3 linked regions of the Mus musculus genome follow. The protein of the gene in region 1 interacts with the protein of each later gene in a pairwise test. Links are inferred from orthologs where the notes say so. Each region holds a gene or a part of one and is shown on either strand. Other genes may lie near its edges.

What was found. The genes of interacting proteins can lie anywhere in the genome.
Region 2: the proteins of Vps52 (region 1) and Atp6v1d interact in binary tests that used the Homo sapiens proteins (3 or more experiments, as listed by UniProt). The two-hybrid records come from large-scale screens. The link is inferred for Mus musculus from reciprocal best matches to the Homo sapiens genes VPS52 and ATP6V1D.
Region 3: the proteins of Vps52 (region 1) and Nfkbib interact in binary tests that used the Homo sapiens proteins (3 or more experiments, as listed by UniProt). The two-hybrid records come from large-scale screens. The link is inferred for Mus musculus from reciprocal best matches to the Homo sapiens genes VPS52 and NFKBIB.

Annotation. Positions count from the first base shown.
Region 1 is NC_000083.6:33,953,699-33,959,675, reverse strand, and holds the start of Vps52 (vacuolar protein sorting-associated protein 52 homolog), read right to left. Parts: upstream 3,877-5,977; 5' UTR 3,584-3,876; coding exon 3,494-3,583; exon of another isoform or gene 2,992-3,493; intron 2,747-2,991; coding exon 2,662-2,746; intron 1,828-2,661; coding exon 1,775-1,827; intron 1,660-1,774; coding exon 1,584-1,659; intron 1,387-1,583; coding exon 1,319-1,386; intron 1,076-1,318; coding exon 900-1,075; intron 452-899; coding exon 301-451; intron 14-300; exon of another isoform or gene 1-13. Other genes in the region: Rps18 (40S ribosomal protein S18), read left to right, coding at 4,056-4,058, 4,500-4,598. UniProt on the Homo sapiens protein: Acts as a component of the GARP complex that is involved in retrograde transport from early and late endosomes to the trans-Golgi network (TGN).
Region 2 is NC_000078.6:78,857,875-78,863,902, forward strand, and holds the start of Atp6v1d (V-type proton ATPase subunit D), read right to left. Parts: upstream 3,765-6,028; 5' UTR 3,586-3,764; coding exon 3,545-3,585; intron 1-3,544. UniProt on the Homo sapiens protein: Subunit of the V1 complex of vacuolar(H+)-ATPase (V-ATPase), a multisubunit enzyme composed of a peripheral complex (V1) that hydrolyzes ATP and a membrane integral complex (V0) that translocates protons.
Region 3 is NC_000073.6:28,762,881-28,769,112, forward strand, and holds the start of Nfkbib (NF-kappa-B inhibitor beta), read right to left. Parts: upstream 3,765-6,232; 5' UTR 3,543-3,764; coding exon 3,364-3,542; intron 1-3,363. Other genes in the region: Sirt2 (NAD-dependent protein deacetylase sirtuin-2), read left to right, coding at 3,972-3,987, 4,752-4,798. UniProt on the Homo sapiens protein: Inhibits NF-kappa-B by complexing with and trapping it in the cytoplasm.

The DNA.
Region 1 (5,977 bases):
CCAAGGTGAACACTGCTTGGTTTTGAGGCAGGGTCTCATGTATCTGTACTGGCCCCAAACTCTCGTTTCTCCTTTCACCTCCCAAGTGCTAGGACAACAGACTTGTGCCATCATGCCAATGTATATGGCACTGGGGATGGAACCTGGGGCTGCATGCATGCTAAGCAACCGCTCTGCCAACTGAGCCACATCTCAACCTTCTTTAGATTTTCAGGGGATCTGGAGGGCCAACCACGCTCTGCACAGCGGGAAGCAGTGTGAAGCTCCTGGAAAGCTGATTCTGAGCAGACCACTCCCCACCTTGACCCGGAGCCGGTCCAGCACGCCTCTGACGTCAGCACAGGCAGCGGTGCCCATAGCCTCCTGCTCTCTCACCGCGGCTGCCTTGGCATCCAGCTCCTGTAGCTGCTCCAGGAACCTGGGCTCGGTCACTGGAGCTTCCAGAATTGCTCTGAGGAGCACGGGAGAATGGGTGTGGTTAGACGGGGTACCCCACAGCCCTGAGAGAGCCCCCTCACACCTCACATGTCATTTCTGCCTTTCTCTGTGGTCTCATGCCTTCAAGATAATATGTACAAAGTTTTCATCTCCTGAGCCACACTTCCTCATGTAGCCTTGGAGCACTCTTAACCTGTGTCCTATCCTATGGAGGGTAAAGCAGGGTTCGAAGTTCTTAATCCATCCATTACAAGATCTCACTCTATAGCCCAGGCTAGTCTACTTGCAGCAATCCTCCTGTCTCAGCCTCCCAAGCATATAATTACGGGCATGAGCCGGCACACCTGGTTTCTAGATGGTACCTGACAACCCCAGCCTAGAGACCTATGTTGTAAATTGTTTAGGTAACCCAGCCCAACCACCTGCTTTGGACATTACTACCTTTCAAACCAGTGACTCACGTGACCAGAGCAGAGGGCACCACCAGCCCATCCACAAGTTCCCCAAGTTTCCCCCGAACTGCCTGTCGGTTACGAAGTCGGATGTTCATGGCCCCCGACTGCTCCTGCAGGGTTCGGATCTCAGAGCTGATGGAGCTGAGATCGCTCTGAAAAGCTCCCAGCATCTGTTCCATGCGCTGTGGGGAGGGCAGGAAACATTGTGGGCATGACTCCGGGTTGTCGGGGAACAAGGACAGGTGTGTCAACCAAGTCTCTGTGCAAATCCCTGGTACCCAGCAACCCAGGAGGATGGGAGATCATCACTTGTCCAAGGGGGACAAAAAATACTGATAGAAGAAGAAGGAGAGGAGGAGGAGGAGGAGGAAGAGGAGGAAGAGGCAATTAAGTCAGATTTGGGGCAACAGGTGAGGGCCACCCACCTCCAGGACGGCGTCACAGGCCGTGATCTGATTGTGCAGAGACGCTATGTTTTCACTCTCTTGGATATCTGACCCACAAAAGTCAAGGGCTTCACACTGAACACAGAGCTCTGCCGATCTGCAGTACCTGCCCCCAGGTCCTCCCCAAAGTGACAGAAGCCTGAGAGAGAAGACATCCCCTTGAGGGCTACCTGCATCACAGGCCCCCAAGAGCCCATGCCAATAGCAGCCATCTTGGCCCTGTGCCTGTGAGGCTGGAGGATACAGTCCCGGATTGACTTCTGCTCAATCTGCTGCAGCTCCAGCTCCACCTGCTTTGAATAGTGTCGAAGATCCACACCCTGGGGGGAAGGACAACCAGTACAGACTCCGTGACTGGCTAGAGGGGAGCCACTAAGCTGAGGGGACCCCAAAAGGAAGGGAGGGTGGGGAGATCAACCCAGTGGAGAGCCTCACCGTTTTGAGAGCTTCCTTCACTAACTCATCCTCCAGGTTTGCCTGGATGTGAACTGGAAACAAGCTTATATTTAGTGTCCCCTGCCAGACCTCCCTCTGCCCACACTGGGCACACGCACACCACACCAATCTCCCCTTCCCTCCCAGCCCCCACCCTCTCCAGTTATAGGCACAGCTGCTTTGCCCGGTGGGACTTCCTGCTGTTTCTGCTCCTCATGGTCTACTCGACCACAGATGGAAAATATTAAAAGGGGATTTCCAAAGTGTGGCTTGTAAGATCTAAAATGTGTGGCATTCTGAGAAGCTAGAGAACCTCTCGCCTGGGCTTGGATCTGAAACATCTTTGCTCCGTTAATCTATGGTGTGTGCTGTGCCTGCCTCCCAGTCACTCAGTCTTAGCTGTCTGCGTATGTATGTTCAACCAGGCTGTATTCTTACTCAACAATAGTCCCAAAGGGGAAAAAGTGATGCTGCGATTTTATTATAGTGTATTGCTGTGACTATTCGACTCGTACTGTTCATTTCTTACTATTCCTAAATTAGAAGTTAAGCCTTCTCAACTCATGGATTAAACTTTATCTGTACATTAAGAAAAAAGCCAGCCGGGGGGTGGTGGTGCACGCCTTTAATCCCAGCACTTGGGAGGCAGAGGCAGGCGGATTTCTGAGTCCGAGGCCAGCCTGGTCTACAGAGTGAGTTCCAGGACAGCCAAAGCTACAGAGAAACCCTGTCTCGAAAAAAAACCAAAAAAATAAAAATAAATTAAAAATAAAAACACACACACATACAAAAGAAAGAAACCATAGAGGGTAATCTACTGGGGTCATGTAATATATTTCTAAAGAATAAAGGGGTCTACTTTGCTCCCACCCCATGTCAGCACTTACCATCCACTTCATCCAAGATGAATTCATCAGAGGTGATGTCCAACTCTCCAAGTTGTAGGGGTTCTTGGAGTCCAGAACCCCCCCCCTGAAGAGGGACAGGTTAATGAATGTGGGATACAGAAAGAGATGTTGGAAACAAAACATAATCGGGTATCCTTAATCCTCCAAGTGAGGTGGGGGGTGCTTTGGGGGGTGGGGGGTGCCGGAGTAAGTGGGTCAAAGATTCTGATGCGTTCAAATCTACAATCTTGGGCTACTGAGAATATCAGGCAATTCATGGAGTTGCTGGAGTTGTTCAAATGAGAAAAAACTAGGACTAGTCAAACTTGCCTTTGAATTTAGGACCTCAGTTTCCAGCTATTCCAGGTGATCCCTGAGGGAATTCCAGAGGCTAAAATCGCCAGCTTACATAGTGTTTACCCCTGTGTCTGGTACACCATTTAACATGCTCATTCGGCTAATCCTAACGACCACCTATAAGGTATGTCCTAACAGCGTTTGCACTGTAAAGGTGTGGGAAGTTTTGGCACCGAAAACACAGCATAGCTTTCAAGCGGTGGGGCTGGAGGTGGGACCCCGGGCAAATTGGTTCCAGAGGCCACGTTCTTAACCTTTTACGCTAAACACTAAAATTTTTTTCTACTAAAAATCGTGAACAGGAAGCTGACACTGTCCCTGGGGCTTGGGTTTCAGCCACTTTGGTCCCTACGAAGGCTAGGTCACCATCACCCGTGGCAAGACGGCTCCGAACCTCTTGTCTAAATGGAGCCTACGCCTGAGGAGAGGGACAACCTGACGATACTCCGGAGGACCTACAGCCCCGTGCTCTCACCAGCGGGCCCTCCTCCTCCTCTACATCTGAGGCCCCAGCCCGCAACACCAGCTCCCGGGCAGCGGCCGCCATGGTCGCTGCGGCTGCCATTCCCCCGCAGCTTCACTTCCGACTTCCGGCAGCTGTCAGTCTCAGAAAGTCCGTTTCCCGAAGCAAAGCTACAAGTCCTGGAATGTCTTCTATGGAGCAAAAAAGGGTCCCAGATATTTGAGCTAAGGCGATCGGCTCCAGCCTCTCCGGTTAGGCTTTGATCATTTCGGTCAAGTGCAAACAGGAAGGTGAACGTCTCGAACACAACTCTGTTCCGGAACCTTCGCTCCGCGCCCACACAAGAACGGTACGACGACAGAGAAGGCCGAACCGGAAGTTATAGCTCCGGTCCCTTCCAAAACTGTCTCAATACAACTCCTCCCTTAGGGGGAGACGGGGAGAGAAGCAATTTCCGGAAGTGGACCTCCGGGGATAGCCCCGCCTCTTCCGCCAGGAATCTATATAAGACTTATACGTCACTTCCGCTCTCTCTTCCACAGGAGGCCTACACGCCGCCGTCTGTGCCGCCGCCATGGTAAGAGCGGAATCCGCGCCGGGATCCTGCGACATCGGAGCCGGGGCAGGGAGAGATTTCCGTCAGGACTCAGAGAGTGCCCCATGCTGCGGGCCCACAGCCCTCTGTGGAGCGATGGAGTGTGACCCGAGAGGGGACGACCTAAGACGTGAAATCCCGGGGATCGGGGCCCCGAGGAATGCTCGCTCCTCTTACACAGCAAAGCTGCCAGGAGCTTGGCTGTGTGTGGGCTCCTCCCGCTTCCCCTGTCCAGGGAATTGGGGGCCGCGGCCGACGTCCACCCTCTTGTCAGAGGTTGCGATTTCCCGCGCCTGAGCGCGTTAGGGGTGAGCCCCGGTGACTGAGGAGTTGTGTAAGAACTTAGCAGACAATCCAACCCTGCCTCGGCCACCTTCCCGGTTTGGGGGTAACCTGTCTTGATAACTGCCCGTGTTCTTTCAGTCTCTAGTGATCCCTGAGAAGTTCCAGCACATTTTGCGAGTACTCAACACCAACATCGATGGGCGGCGGAAAATAGCCTTCGCCATCACTGCCATTAAGGTAAAAGTGTTAGGGGCAAAAGAGAAGCAGCTAAACTCACCCAACCCGTTTCAATAAAAGCCTGATGATGACCCAGGGTTAAACCAAAACATTGCTCCAGGGGTAGTGGGGTGTGAGTGTAGTCATGTCCCACCTTGCAGAGGTTTCCCGAGATCTTCAGCTTCCGAGAGCAGTCTCTGCTGTCAGCAAACCTTGAGTAGAATTCCTGTAAACTAACATCCTAAGAGGTGTCCAGGCTTAGCGGTGATGGTTGGGGGTGGTCTGCAGAAGCTATTGGCAGATGCCACAGTGGAAGGTGACACAGAAGCTGGCAGTTTTCCCCATTATGGCAAAAAGGGAGGTCGTAGGAGGAAGCTGGGATGTTTCTCTGCAGAGCTAAAAGTCTTGTAGACAGGGACAGGACTTGAAGTTGGTGATTTGAGGAGTTGCTGGTCAGGTGTGTTCAGCCATGAGACCTGTCAGTGGTGGGACCTTGTGGGATGCTAGGGTATAGATGGAACTGGGTGGCTGCTGAGAGGTTTGAAGGAGGCCTGGGGAGCCGAGGTAATGTCAGGTGGACATAAAAGTTGGAGTAAATTTTTTTAACCTTGTGAAGTCTCACTTTTAAGTCCTTGCCATGTTGACTTTTTTTAATTCTGCACTTTGGCAAACAATGATAGCACAGCAGGAGGTGCCTGGTGTGGTGGGCAGAGCAGTGTCTAGGGGGTTGAAGGGCCTGGGGCAATGCCTGTGCCCCGTGTGACCTGCTGGGAGATGATTACAGCTGACTTCGAATGCAGACAAGGTGAATGGAGGCTCTTGAAGGGGCTGTGCACAGTGTTTGTAGAGCCTGGGTACTGAGGGTTCTGTTGGTCCTGTGTGAGAGGGTGAAGAACACATCTTTAATGCCAGCACTCCCTGAGGCAGAGGCAAACAAATCTCTGGGCTTGAAGCCAGCCCGATCAATAAGTTCCAGGGCTACACAAGAAAAAACAAAAAAAAACCTGCCTGGAAAACAAAAGGGTGAAGCTGATTGGGAGGTGGGTGGTGGGTATTGGGAGTTTGAGGAGAGAGATTTCGGGGTGAGTTCCTCCAGAGGTGATTGCAAGCTGACCAACAAAGGGTGAAGGACAGGGAAGGTTTCTGTATTCTTTAATTTTTTTTTTCCCTCTTTTGGTTTTTGGAGACAGGGTTTCTCTGTATAGCCCTGGCTGTCCTGGAACTCACTCTGTAGACCAGGCTGGCCTTGAACTCAGAAATCCGCCTGCCTCTGCCTCCCAAGCGCTGGGATTAAAGGCGTGCACCACCACGCCGGGCAGATTTCTGTATTAATTAAGAAGTGTCTTCTGCTCACTCAAGGTGAGAATTTGAATATTTGGAAGCATATAGGCATGTGCTGG
Region 2 (6,028 bases), on another chromosome or scaffold:
AGTCTAATCCAGTGAAGCTGGTTCAGTTTCCAGCCCAAGCAAGAGCTAGCCACACCAATGTGTATACTGAACATTCTGCACTGTTGACACTAAATACCAGAATTAAGACTCAAAAGATTGGAAGAGGGGCTGGGAAGATGATTCAGTGCGTAAGAACACTTGCTTTTTGAGCATAAGGAGCCAGTATCCAGGAGGAAGCCCGAAATGTCTGCATGTGCCTGTAGCCCCAGCACTGGTGGGCAGAGATCCTGAGAGCACCCTCATTAGCCAGTCTAGCCCAAACCACAAGCTTACAGTTCCATAAGAGACTGTCTCAAGGCAAAGAGGGGGAAAGCAACTGAAGAAAAAAACACTAGACATCCTGTTTTGACCTCTACAGGCACAAGCACCCACATACTTGAATGCAACACATACACACAGGAAAGGGGGGGGGGTGTGGATGGGAAGAAACTTAGATAAAATTTAAGTTAATCCCAGCACTGCAGATTCCTACAAGTTTGGAGCTCATGGATGAACTGACGGATCAACTAAAGGTCGTTCTAGATGACTGTACCTCTGTAAATGGAAAGTTTTCAGTTACAGAGACTAAAGAGCTGGATAGGGAGTGGTGAACAGCTGTAAGCCAGCACTTGAGACCTGAAGGCAATAAGACTGGAAGCTGAAGGTCAGCCTGGGATATATAATAATGAATTAGAGGTGACTTGCCTAACAGTTACAAGAACCAAGATTTACCTGACTTCTATTAACTCCAATTTTTGTGCCTTTTTCGCCCTTGAGACAGTCTTATGTATCTCAGGCTGGCTTTGAACCCCTGGTCTGCAATGCTTCAGGCATGTGCCACCACACCCAGATTTATGTAGTATTAGCAAGTGGTGGCCAGGGTATTGTGGCCAAGTGCTCTACCATCTGAACCACATCCCTTTTGGACCTCCTTTGTTTCCATCCAGACTTGTTTCATGTTCTCTGGTGATACATGAAATGAAAGCAACATTCCACAGGACAATACTACCAAGCGAATGAAGGAGAAACCAAAACCAGTACTGTGTGATCTGGACCACGGCAGCTGTTGAACCTGCTCTTTTCTGTTTCAAAGCTGCTTAGCCCTAAAAAAAAAAACAAAAAACAAAAAAAAAAAAAACAAAGAAACAAGAAGTTTGACCTTCAACTAAAACATTGACTTTGTCTCCCGTTGAATCAAAGACATCTGACTATATGACAAAGAACCTGCTGTCAGGCTTTGGGGAAAATATTTACTTCCCACCCCTGACTTCCTCTCAGCTAGCAAGCAGAGTGCTCTCAAATAACAGTTTTCAGGATCACAAACCTATCGTTTCGAGCCGGGCGTGGTGGCGCACGCCTTTAATCCCAGCACTTGGGAGGTGGAGGCAGGCGGATTTCTGAGTTCGAGGCCAGCCTGGTCTACAGAGTGAGTTCCAGGACAGCCAGGGCTATACAGAAAAACCCTGTCTCAAAAAACCCAACCCCCCCCCCAAAAAAAACCTATCATTTCTCCTGTCTGAGCCCAAAGAAGCCCATTTTTCACCTTGTAGTCTTAAATTAAAAGTCCCAAAATAAAAATAAAAACATACCAGCATTACAAATAGTGATTAAATATGGCCAGACATTATTTATAACAGTAAGACCACTAGCAGCAAAGCAAAAAGGTGAGCGCCATTCTGGCTCACACAGGTGTGCCTGGGCACTTTAAAGAGCATGAGTTGCACTCAGGCAGGCTCAGAAAAGGGAAAGTCCACCTGTGGCTGTGTCAACTGTGCCTGCTCTCTGACAGGAACAGAAGTCAGGATTCTAGCCTCCCACAGAGACACAGAGACCCTGTCCTGGTTGATTACCTTACGAAGAAGGGTTCTCTCAGATCCCTGACACATTTATGAGTTAGATAAACTATATATTCAATTAAAAACCCTTTTTCTTTCAAAGAGAGGTCTAGGATCTATCAATCAGATGTCAGCTAAAACCAGTATTTAGTTCTCCTATGGGCTTTGAGTTTTGTTTGTTTGAGGCAGGCATGGTTATTTCTACTTTTAGGTGCTGGGGATTCAACCCAGGGCCTTTTGTATGCCAGGCAAGAGCTCTGCCTCTGAGATATTACTCAGTGGCATTACAGTTGGGGCTAGTGGCTGGGGAGTGGGGAGGAGAACTGTGGTCATCCTAGGATATGTCCTTGTGTTTCCAGAAGCCACCCTGGAATCGGATGTCTCAGTAAAGTTTGGATGGGGCCATTACATGCTGGCTTTGGGATCACCCTAGGGTCGTCCTGATCTTTAGCTGTTTCACGAGCACTGCACTTCCCCACAGCTGGCAGGTTTGTACAGTTAGTATAACTTGCCATTTCAAAGCCATTGGGGAGAAGGTTAAAAGTGTTTTGTTTTGTTTTTAAATAATTAAACCCTTTCATTCACTCAGAGCTACATATACCCTGGCAGAGACAGAAACTCATTCTGTGGTTTAAATGAAACTATTTAAGAGTCCTTGGGTCTATAAGTAAAAAGGCATAGGATAAGGTAAACAATACAGTCTGTCTCTCTCTCTCTCTCTCTCTCACACACACACACACACACACACACACACACACACACACACACGCAAAACCCTAAACAGGCCCCAAAACAGGACCACAGTGAGAGACCTAATTATCAGAATAAAAACTGATTTCCTTCTTCAGGAACAATTGAAGATGAGAGCACAAATACCCTTTTCTTTCCACAAGTTATTATATGTATTTGAGAAAACTTCAAGTTTTCACTTCATCACTTCTCCTAACAAGGATGTTAACCCAAAGCAGAAAGGCGGCCTGTAACTGAGCACATCCCAAGCAAGGGTTCAAGGAACAATTTTCTGTGGACCTTCTATGCATTAAAAAGATGCCTCCTTCATCCAGGAGACAGCCCAAATAAATACCCGCGTGACAGTGTCATGAGTGACACTTGCTAGACGTAAAGAGTGCAGTCATCACAGGGCTATAGGAATACCTCAGAAATGCAGGGATATCTTCCCACAGCAAATAACACTTGACGGGATCCAAGACTGAAACCTACAGCTGCGAGAGGGTGACACATTCAATGTCACTTTGGCTGAGGGGCCTTCTAGCTGCTTCCCTGTCACATAACTTCCCGTCTGGGAGCTTTGGTCAGACCTCAGCGTCTACATCTCAATCCTCAGCAATGATGAGCCCTGGGAGGTAGAGATGGCGCCGACGGCTCAGTTATGTAAACTCCGTGTGTGGCTCAAAGGGTGTGCGGAATGAGTGAGTAAAGGCATCGACCTCCAAAAGCTGCCAGCAGGTGAACCCCCTTTTCCTGTGGACTGGAACCACTTTCTCCGGCCTCTTCTCTCAGAAACAGCAGGGGAGGGGAGCGTTGGAAAGAAACCTCGCTCGGAACTCAGAGGAAACGAAGACCCTGGGGAAAGCTCAAGGAGCGACCCAGAAACCAAGGAACCTTGCTGGTGGCCAAGGGTACGCAGGAATGCGCGCCGGGAAGATGTGCCTGAACACGGTTGTCGCTTGTCCTAGTCTTTAACTTACATTCGCGAAGGGAAGATTTCAATCCGGTCTTTGCCCGACATCCTGACGGTGACTCGGCTCGGGCCCCCCGGCGAGACAATCGGGACCGCAACACCTCCAGAACCGGTTACCCCAGTGCCCGCCTCCACGGGAGTCAGCTGACCGGGTCACTTGACAACTGCGTTGCTAAGAGGCAACCAGGAAACCGGTTCCCACTTCCGGTTCCTGTTGGGCGAGGACTGAGGGAGGGGGAGGAGACGGAATGCCCGGATGTGGAAGCGCGCACAGTCCGGAATTCCGGGTCTCTCCACCGCCCCTCCCTCCGGCGAGTCGCCGGCACCCAGCACGCTCTGAGGGATGGGTCAGGAGAGGATCACGCTCCTCCTCTTCCTCGGCTTTCCGCCATTCGTCACAGCGCCCTCTCTTGGTTGACTAAAACTTAAAGCGATCATCCTGGAGCAAGAAACAGAAACTTACCTCTCCTTTAAACCTAGCAAGTTCCCTCCGCAAAAAAATCTATAAATACCAGGGGCAGTGACTCTTCAGCTCGTCCCTTGGTTCACACCGCCCATATTAGGAGGACCAAGACTCTATGGTTAGTGGCAACGAAGGATCCTTTTCTGTCGGCGCCTGCGCAGTGAGAGGTGGCTCCGCATGCGCGCTGGGTTGGGCGAAGCGCACGCTGAGGAGCTTCGGCGTCCGGGGTTGGTGTTCCGAGTCTCCTCGTTGCCACTAAGCAGCACGGCGTGGGACCCTACTTCGGGATTCACACATCCACTTCAGGTGACCGGCCCCGCAGCTTGCTCTCCCCGAGGATTCGCCTTGGTTTTGTCCAGTGCGGCTAGGCCCCGGGCTACCCCCCCTTTCCCGTTCTTGCGCGGGAAGTGTCTGGACCCCGTCGCCACCGCCCGCTGGTGATTTCCTGCGCCCTCTCGCCAGCCGGTGTCTGCTCCTGCGAGCCAGAAACGTGGCTGGACGGGCGGAGGAACCCCTGAAGGAACGTGGGCCAAGTAGATTTTTACAGCCTCCTTAAAGATGTCTTGTGGTGGGGAGGCCTCTGGAGAACCCTCGACTCCAGTCCCACTCCTAGTTCAAGACGATTGCTTTTACCGGACCGGAGAATTTGGGCTTTTTTTTTTTTTCTTTCTTTTATCCTTCTTTTCAGCCCCAAGATACTGCCAAAACTTTTCTCTCTGTGGAGACTGAACTTTTCGCCAAAGAAACAATAGGATAAACCACCATATTTAAGTTAAAAAAAAGTCCAAAATGGAACTATTAGTGTTGAGGTCGTTAAGTTTTCGCTCTAGCTGTGCATTTCTGTATGAGTGAATTCCTGGAATTTAAAATCAGCTGTTGAAGTTATTTGCCCTGTTTGGGTAACTGCGAAAATAAAACTGGAGTTTTGTAATTATGGACGCTGAAAGCGTAAAACTTTAGAGTTAAGTGTGTACTCGCATTGGGGCTCTTAAACACCCCCTTATATTTAGGATGCTTTAATTTCCACTAAGGAACAAACATTGTTTCTTGAAGAAAGGGTACATCAGAAAAGTCTTGATTTTTCTCCTCCTCAAGTTGTTGTTAAAGAGGTGGAGACCCTCGACAGTTCATCAAAAATGTCAGTTATGAAATTGTAGTGCTTTTTCTGTGCCTATGATGCCAGATGGTGGGCCCTGATTCTCAAAAGACTTAGTTGTACTAGTAAACTTTAGAGCTGAACAGCGTTTTCCCAGCGTGGTACATTTTATTTTGGAATGTTCATTGCCCATATCTGCTATGGTGACATGACAATGTACCGACTCTAGAAGTTAACAGGGGCAAAATACTAATAATGCAAGGTATTTGAAACTAGCTTTGAAGTGTGTTTTTGTTTGTTTACATCAGAACACATACAGTCTGTATGGCATTAACTACAGAAGTGGGATCCCTTGTGAGAGGTGTGAGGTACACATATCTTTAATCCCAGCACTGAAAATGCTTGAGGCCAGCCAGAGCTGCACAGTGAAACCCTGTCTCTAAAGGGGGGGTGGGAGAGCCCTTAACATTGTCATACTGTGTGTGATACAGGGAAACTTTGTGGATATCAGATTTTGTGTTAAAGACTTGAGTTTAGTTCTTGTTTTTAGTGTATATTATGTATCTGTCTTTGAAGTCACTTATATTTCTGTTCCTTGGTTTCCTGTTAATACTTTTTTGGGCCTTTTCAGAACACCTTGTAATCCTAATTTGTTTTCCCACTAGTACTTAATTCCCTAGGGAGGGATTTTTGTGTCAGAATTGCTTAATACTAAGTAATGACTACCCCCAAAATTGTTTTAACAGATTAAATTGCAAAATGAAAAAAGTCAGAATGCTTTGAAAATTATCAAAAAGGACTGAATAAATTCTTGATTTCTGTTTTATTGACAGAAAAAAAAAAACATGGGCTCTTTTTTAAATAATTGTTTTTATGAATTGATTTAGTCAATCAGCCAACAAGTAAGTTCTTTGTGACACGAATCCCTTTGT
Region 3 (6,232 bases), on another chromosome or scaffold:
CACACACACACACTCAGTGTAGCTCTAAGAACAGACCTTCAAATTACATAAAGCAAAAGCTAACAAGGAGAAGAAGCAACAGACGAATCCATAGGTGTGGTAACTTCACTAGGTCTCTGTCACCAACTGTTCCAACAAGTAGGAAAGCAGGAGCAAATGAACGGCAGGGCTCTGTGGTGGCTGCTGCCCTGTCTTTGCAGTCATGAGGACTGAACCTAAGGTAGCTTGCATGCAGGGACGCTGGCTGCCACTGAGCTACCTGCTATTGGTTCCCCTCATTTTGAAGTAGGGCCTCGCTGTGAATGTCCCCAGCCTGGACTTGAATTCACTCTATTCCTCGGCAGGTCCTGACCTTGAGCTCCTCCTGCCTCAATCTTCTTTGTAGCTGGAATCACACGCCCAGCTTTGAACAACACTGCTAACCAACATTCCCTCTAAGTCACACGTTGTCAAAATGAATTCCACCGGCACACAGTTCCCGAGAGCACTCGCCCAGCACTCAGAAGGCCCTGGGTCTGATGGCCAGCGCTGCAAGAGAAAAACTAGAGACCGCAAATCAGACAAAACATGTTCTCTGCCCGCAGTAAAATGAAATTTAAAGCTGGTAACAGAGAGATCTGGAAACTCCTCCAAGCGTGAAAAATGAACATACTTCTTCATAACCTACTGGCCAAAGGAGAAACCAAGAGAAATTAGAAAATATACTCATTTATGCAAAAATAAAAACACAATATATCAGAAGTTCTCCAGAGGGAATATTTACAGCATTCCAAGCACATTAGAAAAGAAGAGAGATGAGCTGGGCAGTGGCTTGCTTGGTAGACTGCTAGCTTAGCGTGCATAAGAACCTGGGATCAATCCCAACTCTGCATAAACCAGGCACGCACCACCTTGCCCGGAATTCCAGGCAGGAAGACCAAGAGTAGGGTAGGGTAGGAGCAATGGCTTAGCAGTTAAGAACACTTGTTGCTGCCGGGCAGTGGTGGCGCACGCCTTTAATCCCAGCACTTGGGAGGCAGAGGCAGGCGGATTTCTGAGTTCGAGGCCAGCCTGGTCTACAAAGTGAGTTCCAGGACAGCCAGGGCCATACAGAAAAACCCTGTCTCAAAAAAACAAAAAACACTTGTTGCTCTTGCAGAAGACCCCGGTTTGATTTTCAGCACCTACATTGTGGCTCATAGCCATCCCTAACTCCAGTTCCAGGGGATCCAACATTTATACACATAAAGTAAAATTATTTGGGAAGCAGGGGCAGACATATCTCTGAGTTCAACGTCAGTCTGCTCTACATAGAGAATTCCAGGACAGCCAAGGCTACACAGAGAAACCCAATCTCAAAAAACCAAAAATAAATAAAATAAACCAAAGAAAAATTTCATAATGTGTAGACAGAATCTCTTATAGGCAACACCTGTCAATAAAAAAGCAAACGGCCAATGAGCTGAAGCAGGAAATAGGAGGTGGGACACTGGCAGGAAAAGAAAGGATTCTGGGAAATAGTGAGAGAATAAAAGGAGACACAGGGAGAGACACTGGAGGAGTCACTGAGAGAGACACCGAGAAAGACGATGCTAAGGAAGAAGCAGGCCCGAGACTGAAGGAAAACATAGAATGATTTAAATGGGTTAAATAAGTTATGTGTTAGCTATGGAATGGGCCAAAGCTTGTAGCCAAGGCATTTATTAATAAATAGTTAATGCCAGAGTCCTTATTGTTGGGAATTAAGTGGCCGGAAGAAAAAAAAAAAAGGATTCATTTTTTTTTACAGTAGTGTTCAAGGCTAGCCTGGGCTACATAGTGAGACACTGACTTAAAAGGGGGGTGGGGTTGGAGGCTGGGAAATGTTTTGCTAAGTAAAGCACAGTGACCTTAGTTTAGAACCCACATAAGAAAAAGCTGGGTGTGATTGTAAGTATTTATAGTCCCAACACTAGGGAGGAGAACCCTGGAATGGAGCACAGTGGTGCGCGCCTTTGATCCCAGCACTCCGGAGGCAGAGGCAGGTGGATGAGTTTGAGGCCAGCTTGGTTTACATAGTGAGTTCCAGGCCAGCCACCCTGTCTCAAAGAGGAAGAGGAGGGTAGAGAGCAAGAGATGACCGCTGAGGCTCTCAGGCCAGCTAGTCTAGCCTACGTGCTCAGTGCAGCCCAAGGTTGCCCTCTAGTCCACACACACACACACACACACACACTCCCCAGGCGGGATGTAGTGATACCCACTTGGGAGCTGAAAGCAGGAGAATGAAATGTTCAAAGCTATCCTCAGCTACAAAGTAACCTCAAGGCTAGCCTGGGCTACATGAGACCGTCAAACACAAACAATCGAGAAAGGAAGGGGGAGGATAAAGAAAGCACAAAAACCAGACCCAAAGTAACCAGAGGGAAATAATAAAGGAACAGGAACCAACAAAGTAGAAAGTGAAAACTAAGGCAACTACTCCTGGCTCTTTAAGATGAGTGTTTGTTGGGTTCCCCTCATGGGTCAGGCACTGAGTCACTGGGCATACGCAATAAGCACAAAGGACAAGAAAATCCCGGGTACAATCCCTTAATGCACGCCGTCACCACAACCATCCCTTCTCCCCAGCTTATCTACTAATCAACATTTCCTACTCTTTAACCTTTTTTCAGTCACCCTCTCCTCCTTTTCCTCTTCCCTCCTTTTTGATACTGGGTCCTTCCAGGCTGTCCTCGGACTAGTGATCCTCCTGCCTCAGCCCCTCGAGTGCCAGAATGACAAGTGTGTACCATCACACTCAGCTAAACTAAAACCAGGGATTGGAAGGTGGTAGTTTGGGAGAAGCATTTGGCTAACAGATGAATCTAGCCTCATAGAATAGAGTTTCTACATCTTATGTAGCTCTGGCTGGCAGGGAACTCAATCAGGTGGCCTCAAATTCACAGAGATCCACCTGCCTTTGCCTTCCAAGTGCTGTGAGAGCCATGACACCCACCAGCTCAATTTCTTAACTGCAGGGTCAATACTGGACGTGTCAGCTTCAGAGACTCAGGGCCAAGAACTAGTTTTGAAATCAAAATCTGGCTTATACAAGAATAGCCAAAGACCAAAGACTACATCTGGAAGTAAGAGGTAAGAAGATGTGGGAACTAGAGTGGTCGGAAAGGTTCAGATCCGATTTGGGGATCAGGAGCTCAAATTTATAGAGTTCAAAAAAGGTGAGACACTTGACTGTGTGAAAGCGTACCAGTCTCACAATTTAGTGTTTGGGGGTTAAGGGCCAGGAAGTCCAGCATCGGAAATCAAGAGTTAGGAACGAGACGATACGAAGTCACAGGAATCGTAGGCTAAAGGGGACTCAGGTAAGATCCCAGGGCTCAGTCTAGTAATTTAAGGTTTACTCACGTGTCCCCATCCTCAGTGACGTAGCCAAAGACTAAGGGCGCCCACGACAGCTCTGGGCCAAGCTCTGCGCCCAGACCTGGTCCTCCGGGAGCCGCTGCGTCGGGACCTAGAGAGCCCAGGCCGCTGTCGCACCATTCATCGGCATCCGCAGTTTTCCCCAAGCACGCGACCCCGGCCATGGCCCCAGCCACCTCGGGTGGCCCCCTGTGGTCGCCTGCCTGTCGCTGGGCTCTGCGATGAGCTCCAGTGCTTCCGCCCTATCGGGAATTCCCCAACACGCCCCCTCATATACCCAATCAAAATGTTTTAAATAGCTACACCCCGCCCCTGTACTGCACCACAGCCAATCAGAAAAATGAGGTGGACATTCGCTCGCTGAGTTTCCCCACATTTTCCAGACGCCCTTTATCAATATGGCCGCCGGCGCCAGGCTTTTTGGGATTTGTAGTTTGATAACATGAGAGGCACATTGTACGAAAGCGGTTATGGGGATCGCATTGCCTGCCGGGAGTTGTAGTTCTCTATCCTATCTCGGCCTCTTCTTGTTTCCGCTGCCGTCACGGGACAGAGCAGTCGGTGACAGTCCCGAGGGCCCCCACCCCGTTCCCATGGCCGAGCCGGACCGTGAGTTAGGGGCCCTGTTGGGAGGGTGGGAGGGTCGGGCCGCGCCGGGGCCTGGCTTTGGGCTGCAGGCCCCGGGGCCCGAGGGTAGGCTCGGTGGGGCGGGAGACAGGATCTACCTGAAGGGAGTGGGATTCGGAGGGGTGTTGCTAAGTGGTCCGTATTACTAGGTTGGTTGGTTTCTGGATTGTGAAATGTAAGGGTCCGATTGTCAAGTTCTTAATGATCGCATTTCTCGTACTTTGGCTGCTGAGGACCCTCGTTGCTAAGGACCAAAGTTACCACTATCCCGGTTGCTAAGGTTGTCTGTTGTTAAGGGCAACTGTAGGATGGGTTCCGGGGACCCCTGTGGCCCCTTACTATCTCATTCCTTCAGTTCTTGTGCCTCTCCTAAACCTCCTACCTTCACTGCATCTCCTCTCCCACACTCAACTCTCAGCAGAAGTATCCCTACTTACGTCTCTTGAAAAACTTAGCCCTCCCTCATTCTCTCGACTCGCACATGCTACCATATCCTGCTTAACTCTGAAACCTTCCTTCAGTCCAGTCTCGCCTGCTTTCTCCTCCTAAAGATTCCCCTCCTCAGCCTTTTCACGTCACACATACCTCCACTCTAAAATATGCCTTTTCCCATCTCCGATAGTTTTACTACCATCCCTGACTCTGAAATAATTAGGTTGGTGGGTCCTCTTGTCCTCCACCATTGTGAGCCCTTCTGCTTAACTCTTTCCCCGCACTGTAACCACGTCTGCTCCCCTCCTCCCCAGCCTCTGACCCTCTGGAGACCCAGGCAGGGAAGGTGCAGGAGGCTCAGGTGAGATGGGGAAGGGGTGGAGGGAAGGAGAGACTTGGTTCCACGTGCCGCACTGGGGGGAGGTGGCAAGGGAAGGCTTTTACCCAAGGGCCCTTGGCTTATGGCCCTGATCCCCAAGCCCATCTGGGGATTAGTACAATCTCCTGGGAGAATGGTGGCTTCTTGGGACTGTCAAGGAAAATGTATAGCCTCAACCCCTGGTTCCCTTCCATATCGTCCTCGTTTCCTACTGTTGCCCATCCCATCCTCAGCCCCTTCTGAACCTCATTTGTGCTGGACCTGAAAGAGACGGTTTTCCAGTTCAATCCGCAAACTCAGATCCTATGAGGTGGGGGAAAGGACCCTATAGGGCACGTTATAAAAGTATCGAAGCTGGGTGTGGTGCCAGCCCCCTGTAATGCCAGCACATGGGGGGGGGCAGGGGAGGGGGGAAGTGAGGTAGGAGGATGGAGAAAGGAGAGGCAGCTTGGGCCATATGGTGAGACCCAGTCTCAAAAAAGGAGGGAGGAAGGGAGAGAGCATACCCCTGGAGTACCGGGCAAACTCTGTGGGTCAGAGATTATAGAAGATTCTAGCCAAACTCTCCCCTGGTGGAACCCACAAGCTGATCTAGGAACAAGACCAAGATATAGTCACAGTGTCGTATAAGTGAAGTGATAAGGGATTTTCTTAAATGAGATCGGAGGTGGTGTTCCATGCAGGGTACAGGCCTGAGAGCACGAAGGGATAGTAGATGTTTCAGTAGTTGGGTTGCTGGCGTGGTCATTTATTGATACTCTGCCTGAATTTTAATGTACATGACTTCATTTAATCTTTGCAGCATCCCAGTGAAGGGAAGGCCTCTCATGGCTGTGTTACAGATGAGCAGCTTACTTGGTGAAAACTGTTAACCCCTGTGTTCTTTGGGTAGAAAGGAAAGGGCTTGAAACTTATGGGGAAATGGGCTCCGAAAGATGCTGCAGCTTCAGTGGAGTGTAGATGAGCCATCTCAAAGATGTTTGAAGACACGTGCCAAGGCCTCCGGTTCCCCCAGAGGCCAGGTTGTCCTCATATACTCGAGGAGTGGTTCTCAATCTTCCTAATGCTGCAACCTTTTAATGTAGCTCCAACGGTGTGGTGTCCCTCCAACCATAAAATTATTTTGTTACTACTTCATAACTGTCCTTTTGCTACTGTTATGAACTATAATGTAAATATCAGATATGTAGGATATCTGATATGGGACCCCCCCCCCAAGAGAGGGTCGCTTGATCCCTAAAGGGATTGTGTCCCACAGGTTGGGAAACAGTGTACTGGACCATGCCTACAACCACTGAATGCCAGCATGCTCATCCTATGAGACCACACTTCGAAGGGAGGCAGGTGCAGAAGCTGTGGTCAACAATACCCCCATAAGAGCTGTGACAGCCTGCTGTGGGTCTCTAGTCTCTTACT